Oreochromis niloticus: one gene and its partner. The protein of the gene in region 1 purifies or fractionates together with the protein of each later gene. This does not show direct contact. Links are inferred from orthologs where the notes say so. Each region holds a gene or a part of one and is shown in the gene's direction. Other genes may lie near its edges. The genes, in order: srprb and srpra.

Region 1 (3,917 bases):
ACTTTATTACGTAATGAGAAGATTGTGAATGAAGCTCCAAACTGGGTTTTCCTTTATCTGATTACATGTTGTCTTCACATTTAGCTTCTACAAAGAGAATAAAGTCAGTTTCTCGTTTAAAGGGAATAAAAATTTAAAATAGAACATTTTGCACACGTTTGCCGTGGTAGATGCATATTTTAACGCTGTATTCATAACAATGGCATCTAGATCTGAACAAATGTTTGACCTTGCTAAATCCCTACTCTTGAAAACAGAAACACCGGAAAGCAAATTATACATCCACAGAATTCAAAATATAAACAGAACACAAACGAAGTAATTGTCATATCATGACCAAATAACAGAGCCATGAGTCTTTTGACTGCACAGAAAATATGCACAGATGTACTCATTTACTTGCAGGCAAATTACAGAAAATTCCATATATGTAATGAGACTAGTAGACTGTGATGTTTGCAGACGGCAGTATGATCTGTTGTGAGAGCAGGGAGCAGATAAGACTCTGGAGAGGTGGAGGTATGTGCTGGAGAGAAGACCTCCAAAACAGTGAGTAGAAGCAAGAAGGAATATGTGTGTGTGTGTGTGTGTGTGTGTGTGTGTGTGTGTGTGTGTGTGTGAATGAGAGGGAGGCGGGAGGAAATGTGAAAGAGCAAGGAGCAGATGTAGTGAAGGTGGTGTTTAAATCCCTGGGGTCAACCATCCAAATCAACAGACGGGCACAAGAGAAGAGAAAAAGACAGTGCAAGGAGTGTGGAGTGGGTGGAGATGAGTATCAGGAGTGATATGTGACAGAAGATTAGCAGCAAGAGTGGAAGGGGAGGTTTACAAGATGACAGTGAGACATTCTGATCTGAAGGTGTAAAGGTTTTTATTGGGAATGACCAGAATGGATGAGAAATAAGTACACCAGAGGAAAAGCTCAGGTCAGCTCCCAGGAGGGACAGTGGATTTACTGAAAAAAGGATGGAGCAGCTAGCTGGAAGAAAGGCCCGCAAAGATTCGTGCGTGTAGTAAAGGAGGACATCACTACAAACATGACAGAGGAGGATGGTGTGACAGAGGAGGATGCTAGGCTTTAGGTGAGGTGGAGGCAGATGATCCGCTGTGGTGACCGTTTCTATTGGGAATGACCAGAATGGATGAGAAATAAGCAGCTGTCAGAAGGAGATGGAGGACTACACCGGATTTGCAGTGTATGCTTGATTTCACTTTTGATTTTGAATCACTTCCTGCGTGTTAAAATTAGCTGTTTGTTTTTATACTTCCTTATCCCCTAAGATAACTGCGTCATTTGGCTTGAGTAACTTATGACATTTTACATTACCAGGTACTATTTTTTTCTATTTTTCTCATGAAAACTATCTTCCATTTACTTCCAGAGAAATAAACGTGGCATGAAACTGTCATTTACCTCTAGCTGGTTCCAGCACTTTAATGTCTTTTACATACAGTCTGTGGTCCAGACCCATAACGGAGAATGTCCCGAGCGGCGGGCGCCCCCTGCTGGTCGCTGTGGCTCCCTACAGGCTTCAGATGGAAGGAGACGTGTCTCATTTCAGAGCAGCTTGGACGGAGTGATGGAAGCACACAACACCGGTGGAAACGTGGGAGAGAAAGCAGACGTGGAGATGGCAGGATCTCCGTTTGAACCTTACATTGAGTCCCTGCGGCAGCAGCTAGAAGAGCAGGACCCGGTCTTCCTGATCGGAGTTATCGTCGCTTTGGCGGTGGTTGTTATCACCTGTGGTAAGAAGTCATTTTAGCAGCTTAGCAGGCTAGGCCAAGCGTGTAGCTTAGCCCCGTTAGCCGCAAACAGCTGGTCTGTGATAAACCTGATATGTGAACAGGGCTTTTTAACGTTGAAAATACAATAACATGCGCTGTTTTAATAAATTAATATATGCTTTAAATACTTTAGCTTAAGTAGCAAGCTAAGAAGCTAACAACGGCTGTCGGTTTCACGGGAAGTCATTCAAACTTAGAGCTACCACACATTTTTGGCTAACGGACGGCAAGTGCCTTTGATACGTTGAGAATCAGTCACTGAATGTGTACCCTTTGCTTTGTGTTTGCAGTCTTTCTGAAGTACTTCCTCACCAGTAAGACTGTGCGCACCTCCGTGCTGCTGGTGGGGCTGTGTGACTCGGGGAAAACCCTGCTCTTCAGCCGGGTGAGTTAATGCTGAGACAGACCCCGGAAGCCCGCAGGGGGGTGCCCTGCAGCTCATGTTTGTTTGTTTGTTTATTTATTTGTTTGTGTGCTTTTCATGTGTTGGCAGCTGCTGTCTGGAAAGTTCAAGCGGACACAGACCTCCATCACTGACAGCAGTGCTCCATACAAAGCCAAAAATGACAGGGTGAGTTGAGGACTGTTAGTGGACAGAAGTAACTCGTGTGAGGGTGGGATTTACACCTTTGTTTTTCTCCACCCCGTCTGCAGGGCAGCACCTGGACTCTCATAGACCTGCCAGGCCACGACAGCCTCCGTCCTCAGTACCTGGAGAAGTTCAAGTCTGCGGCCAGGTGAGAGCAGGACGATCTGTGAGGTGATGTATGTGTGAACCGCTGACAGGTGAATGGAATAATGCTGCTTCCACAGAATGAAATGTTCTGACCATAGACTGTATAGAAAGGATGGTAAAGCCATTTTTACCCTTGCATGTTTTGGATCATCAAACACACTTTAATGTTAGAAATAACCTGAGTAAATACAAAGTGCAGTAAGTGCAGTATTAACGTCATGATTTCATTGATTAAGGCAGAAAAGCTATCCAAACCTGCCTGCCCCGTGTGAAAAAAGTAATTGTCCCCTTGTTCCATATCACATCTGTCTTATCATCACCCTGTCCTCTTTTTCAGAGCGATTGTGTTTGTAGTGGACAGCGCGATCTTCCAGAAGGAAGTGAGAGACGTGGCCGAGTTCCTGTATGTGTTATTGACGGACGCCGTGATCACCAGAAACGCCCCGGCTCTCGTGGTGGCGTGCAACAAACAAGGTACAGTAACCCTCAGAGAGTTTTTAGAGAGCTGGTGGAAACTTTTTATTTGGTTTGTCTCATGTTTAAATAGAAAGATTCATAGTTTTCTGTCACATAAGGTAATTGCAGTTCACTGAGAGTGTAGTCCCATTCTGAGTCCTAATATCTGAGCCTTCACTGCTTACTCTACATCCAGGTTATTCACTGGTGTTTTTATCTTGTAGACATCACCATGGCAAAATCCGCTAAACTGATTCAGCAGCAGCTGGAAAAGGAGCTGTAAGTAACTCTCTGTTTTGTTGTCTTCTTATACAATAAATATTTTTAGGAGCATCGCAACAGGTTTTGAATCAAAGCTTTATTGTCCATTGCAAAGCAGTGGAACTTTTTCTTAAACGTGGTTTTCAGTGTAAATAAATAAAACCGCAAAAAATAATGAATGCCACATAGCAGGATTCAAGGATTGTTGCAGATATGAATTTTTTGTTTTTCAGTTTTTGTGTAGTAATTTTGCCATTTTATTCATATTTCCGCTGATAAGCCAGTGACTGATCCTGTATTTATTATGAACCTGTTACCGCAGACTGTAGGATGTGTGTGTTTAATGTGGACTGTGATGTGTTACTGCAGCCTACCCCCAGGTATCATAGGGTAAGAGGCGGGATACACCCTGGACAGGTCGCCAGGCCTAACACAGAGGGACAGACAGCCATTCACACTCACATTCGCGCCTATGGCCAATTTAGAATCATCGATTAACCCAACCCCACTAACTGCATGTCTTTGGACTGTGGAAGGAAGGCGGAGTACCCAGAGAGGACCCACACAGACACGGGAGAACATGCAAACTCCACACCATAAATAGCACTGTTGCTTCACAGCTAGAAGGTCCTGAATTCAAATCCATCACCTGGTCAGACCCTTTCTCTGTGGAGTT
Region 2 (3,917 bases), about 7.2 Mb from region 1:
TCTTATGCACCTTCTTTGTTGCGCCTTTCTGCAACTCCGTTAGTTGGCTAACCTCCCTTCGTGCTACTTTGATCTTGCCCTCTAGCCTCCTTCTCCATGGAGGGTACTGCCCCTTGTGGCTGTTCAACTTGTAGCCAAGTATCTCACTGATCACTGCTGCCGTAGTGTAGATCAGCTTGTTAGTGTCGGTAATCGTGGTTGTAGGTATCGTCCGTAGTGCTGCATTAACATCATCTAGCAGACCTTCTGAGGGTACTTCACGTAATCTTGGTAACCGGCTACGGGGGATCCAGGTTTCAAGCTTGGCCATGATCCTATCTTTCAGGTCAGTTCCTCTCGCACTCAACGATCCTTCTCCTATCGCACTTGGGGCTATGTACCCAATCTCGGGTGGGGGTGATGATATCTCCCCCCTGACCTGGCGTCCTGACTCCTCCTTGCCGTAGCATTTATGTTGTACCTCGTCAATCTCTGATTGATGGGAGGCGACCGTGGCTCAGGGGATTGGGAAGCTCATCTGTAACCGGAAGGTTGCCGGTTCGATCCCCCTGCTCTCTCTGTCCTGGTCGTTGTGTCCTACTGCCTACTGGTGTTGGCCAGAGGGGCCGATGGTGCGATATGGCCGCCTCGCTTCTGTTAGTCTGCCCCAGGGCAGCTGTGGCTACAACTGTAGCTTGCCTCCACCAGTGTGTGAATGAATAGTGGAATTGTAAAGCGCTTTGGGTGCCTAGAAAAGCGCTATATAAATGCAATCCATTATCTGCCTTCAGTACCTCTACTCATTGCAGCTACACAGTTACACTAGCCTAATTCTCATTCACACATGTACTCTGTCTTGCTTATACTGGCTCCAGCGAACACCCCCCAAAATACATACTGGTATTACACCAGTGCTGTTGGTTTGGGATCAATACTAGCACAACATGTTATGTTGTTTGTAACCTCTAAGTTTAGTATATAACCCACTTAATTGCTTTAAATAAATTATATTTTGGGAATGAAAAAATATACCTGCCAGTTTTATTATTTTTATTATTTAATAAAAATAATCAATTTATTTATGTATTAATTTATTTATTCATTAATGTATTTATTTATTTATTTTTATAGCCTTTAAACAACAGAAGTTGACCTAAAGAGACAGGACCAACACATGCTATTTTTACAGGTAACAGGTAAAAATACTGGCATTTCTACTGGTGAAGTACACACGAAAACACTACCGGTTCATTCAAATGACAACTGCGCAAACGCAAAACTCAGTAAAAAAAAAAAATGCCGGAAGTCAACATCACTTCCTGATCGTGCCTCTGACGTGTCTAAAACAGTTTTTTCACTGGTAGTGGGTTTCACTCGTGGGGCATTTATTATCAGTTTAAGTATTATCCGGTAAGAGTTCGTGTTCTGAATAGCAGGCAGGAGCCGTTAAAACGACACTGTGTATTTTTTAATCCCAGGGCCCTCTTTCACTTTTATCCACATGTCTGTCTGCGTTTTTGTTTAATCCAGGTACGTGCTGAGAAGATGCTAGACTTCTTCACCATCTTCAGCAAAGGGGGGATAGTGTTGTGGTGTTTTCAGGGAGCCGGTGTCACTGAATCCTTCACGGGGCCGGTCAACGCTTTGATCCGCTCGGTGATCCTTCAGGTGAGCCTCACGGCTAGCTGCTTGTGGTTGTTGTCTTTTTATCCAGCTCTCTGTAACAAGGGTCCAGCTAATGCTAGCACTAACGGGTAGCTAATGCTAGCGTTAGCTTATGGCGTAGCGATCAACTAAATAAGCTTCTTCTGGGCTGTGCACCCCCCCGATACCACTGTCATTCATAAGTTCAATATTTCCTGTGCTACAGTGACGTAATTTAGGTGGTTGAAAACACACACAACAATAGCTGCAGTAGCAAAATGTGTGTTTAGCTCCGTTTACATGGTATTGATGTTTTTTATTTTTTTTACAGGAGCGAAGTGGGAACAGTTCGTTTAGTCATGGGGGCTTGAGTCTTAAATACAAGCTCGACAACGAGTTTGAGTTGATTTTTGTGGTAAGTCGTTCATATAAGCATTGAATGAATTAAAAAAAAAATCAACTGAGGATATGTGTTTGTGTTTTATATGTGTTTATGATCATTGCCTTTTTCTTGTTTCACCTGTGCATCTCTAGGTGGGTTTTCAAAAGATCCTGACGCTGACATATGTGGACAAGTTCATAAATGACGTCCAGCTTCGCTTTAGGGATCGCTATAAGAATGAGCTGGAGCAGAAGGGAGCTTTAAAGCTGCTCAACAACAGCTTTGAGTTTGAGAATGACTTCAACATGCTTCTCAGGTAAAGAAACAAAGTAATTTCCAAATAAAGACAATAGGTGTATTGTTTGGTGCCTATATCTGTAGGTAGGAATGGAAAATGTGTATTGGTTTTATGTGCAAATGATGTTATTAGTAATTTAAAGCCAATTCATTCATTGTCTTCCGGTTATCCAAATTCAGATCGTGGTGGCAGCAGGCTAAGTAGGGTATTCCAGAGGTTATTCTTCCCAGCCACATTTTTCAGTTCTTCTTGGGCGATTGCAAAAGATATAAAATCTCTCCAGCGGGTTCTGAGTCTACCTTAGAGTCTCCTCCCATGCCTAGAAAACCACTAAAGGGAGGTGCCCAGGAGGCATCCTAACCAGATGCCTGAATCATCTCAACTGGCTCCTTTTAACATGCAGGAGCAGCAGCAGCTGAGACTCCTGAGACCCCTGAGACCCCTGCAGATGTCACAGCTTGTCACTCTTTTTCACCCAATAGGCAGGGATTATACTTTCCACAAGTCTGCTAGGGTTCACTTGGGTCCCGCTGATACAGATTTCATCATCAGATGGTTAACATGAGGGTCCCCTCGGACGTTTGCATACTTCCCTGTTTTTTTGTTTGTTTTCTGTGACTCCCCGCGTTACTGCTGAGGCTGCATCTGTCAGTCCAACTGGCGCTCTGTCTTTCCATCCCTTATAAATATTTGAGTTCCTTTGCTTTATGTTCGAGAACATAAAATTTGAACACAACAATTCAATTTTATTTTAGCAGCAATTGAAATAAATCAAGTCTATCTTGATAATGGTCAAAATATGTTTTTAAATATTCGTTTCACATGCCACATAAGAAATATGATCAACAAGCTGTGAGATTTAATGGTTTTGTTGTATGTTTGTTTTATTAGCTTAGAAAAAGTGAAGGCTGCCTCCCTGACAGAGTTTCTTTTTGTTCTTCCCTATGTTGACATATATTAATTGTTTACCAAAAGTGTGGCGGAGGAGAGCAGTAAAGCTCGAGGCCCTGCCGGCATGCGGACCTTTGAGCAATCTGGGAAATCTCAAAAAACTGTGAAGTCAATGATTGAGACAAAGGGTGGGGACAAAGGCAAGGAACAGGGTGGCAAGAAGAATAAAAATGCCAAAAAGGAGGGTAAGTGGTCTCTTCTGGTTATAAAAAGCAAAATCTAAATGGATAAGGGTAACATGATTTCAGACTCAGTTGACTCTAATCCTTTCCAGCTCCTGCAGCTCAGCCTGCCAAAGGGGATCAAGACAAGGCCTCACCCTCTGGCCAGAAGATGGTGGAGAATGGTAACCAGAGCTTGACTGCAGAGGAGATCTTGCAAAAGAACAGAGAGGAATTCTTCCGTAAGCACAGGCCAGGAGCTTCTGAAAAACCCAGGTAAAGCAGCTGATACTTCCATTTAAAAGAGACAGCAGGCCAAGAACAATGTGTGTTTTAAAGACACACATTGATTTTTCTTTTCCTAAAAACTTATATTAAGTGTTACTTCTGTGTGTGTGTGTGTGACTGTCTGTTGTGTTAGAGCCATGGTTTGATGATAATAATTGATTATTTTCTTTCCTCGTGTGTAAAGCATGTTGAGACACTCATTTTTCATTCTGAT

The links.
Region 2: the proteins of srprb (region 1) and srpra purify together in Homo sapiens (affinity purification with mass spectrometry; 6 studies listed by BioGRID and IntAct, counting the BioPlex papers as one, with this or other methods). This does not show direct contact. The link is inferred for Oreochromis niloticus from reciprocal best matches to the Homo sapiens genes SRPRB and SRPRA.

Annotation. Positions count from the first base shown.
Region 1 is NC_031979.2:23,286,359-23,290,275, forward strand, and holds the start of srprb (signal recognition particle receptor subunit beta), read left to right. Parts: upstream 1-1,127; 5' UTR 1,128-1,142; coding exon 1,143-1,196; intron 1,197-1,295; exon of another isoform or gene 1,296-1,310; coding exon of another isoform or gene 1,311-1,330; intron 1,331-1,382; coding exon 1,383-1,749; intron 1,750-2,078; coding exon 2,079-2,173; intron 2,174-2,281; coding exon 2,282-2,359; intron 2,360-2,442; coding exon 2,443-2,525; intron 2,526-2,861; coding exon 2,862-2,998; intron 2,999-3,204; coding exon 3,205-3,259; intron 3,260-3,917. UniProt on the Homo sapiens protein: Component of the signal recognition particle (SRP) complex receptor (SR). Ensures, in conjunction with the SRP complex, the correct targeting of the nascent secretory proteins to the endoplasmic reticulum membrane system.
Region 2 is NC_031979.2:16,095,856-16,099,772, forward strand, and holds the start of srpra (signal recognition particle receptor subunit alpha), read left to right. Parts: upstream 1-1,238; 5' UTR 1,239-1,389; intron 1,390-1,509; 5' UTR 1,510-1,524; coding exon 1,525-1,647; intron 1,648-1,954; coding exon 1,955-2,038; intron 2,039-2,157; coding exon 2,158-2,321; intron 2,322-3,278; coding exon 3,279-3,439; intron 3,440-3,528; coding exon 3,529-3,691; intron 3,692-3,917. UniProt on the Homo sapiens protein: Component of the signal recognition particle (SRP) complex receptor (SR). Ensures, in conjunction with the SRP complex, the correct targeting of the nascent secretory proteins to the endoplasmic reticulum membrane system.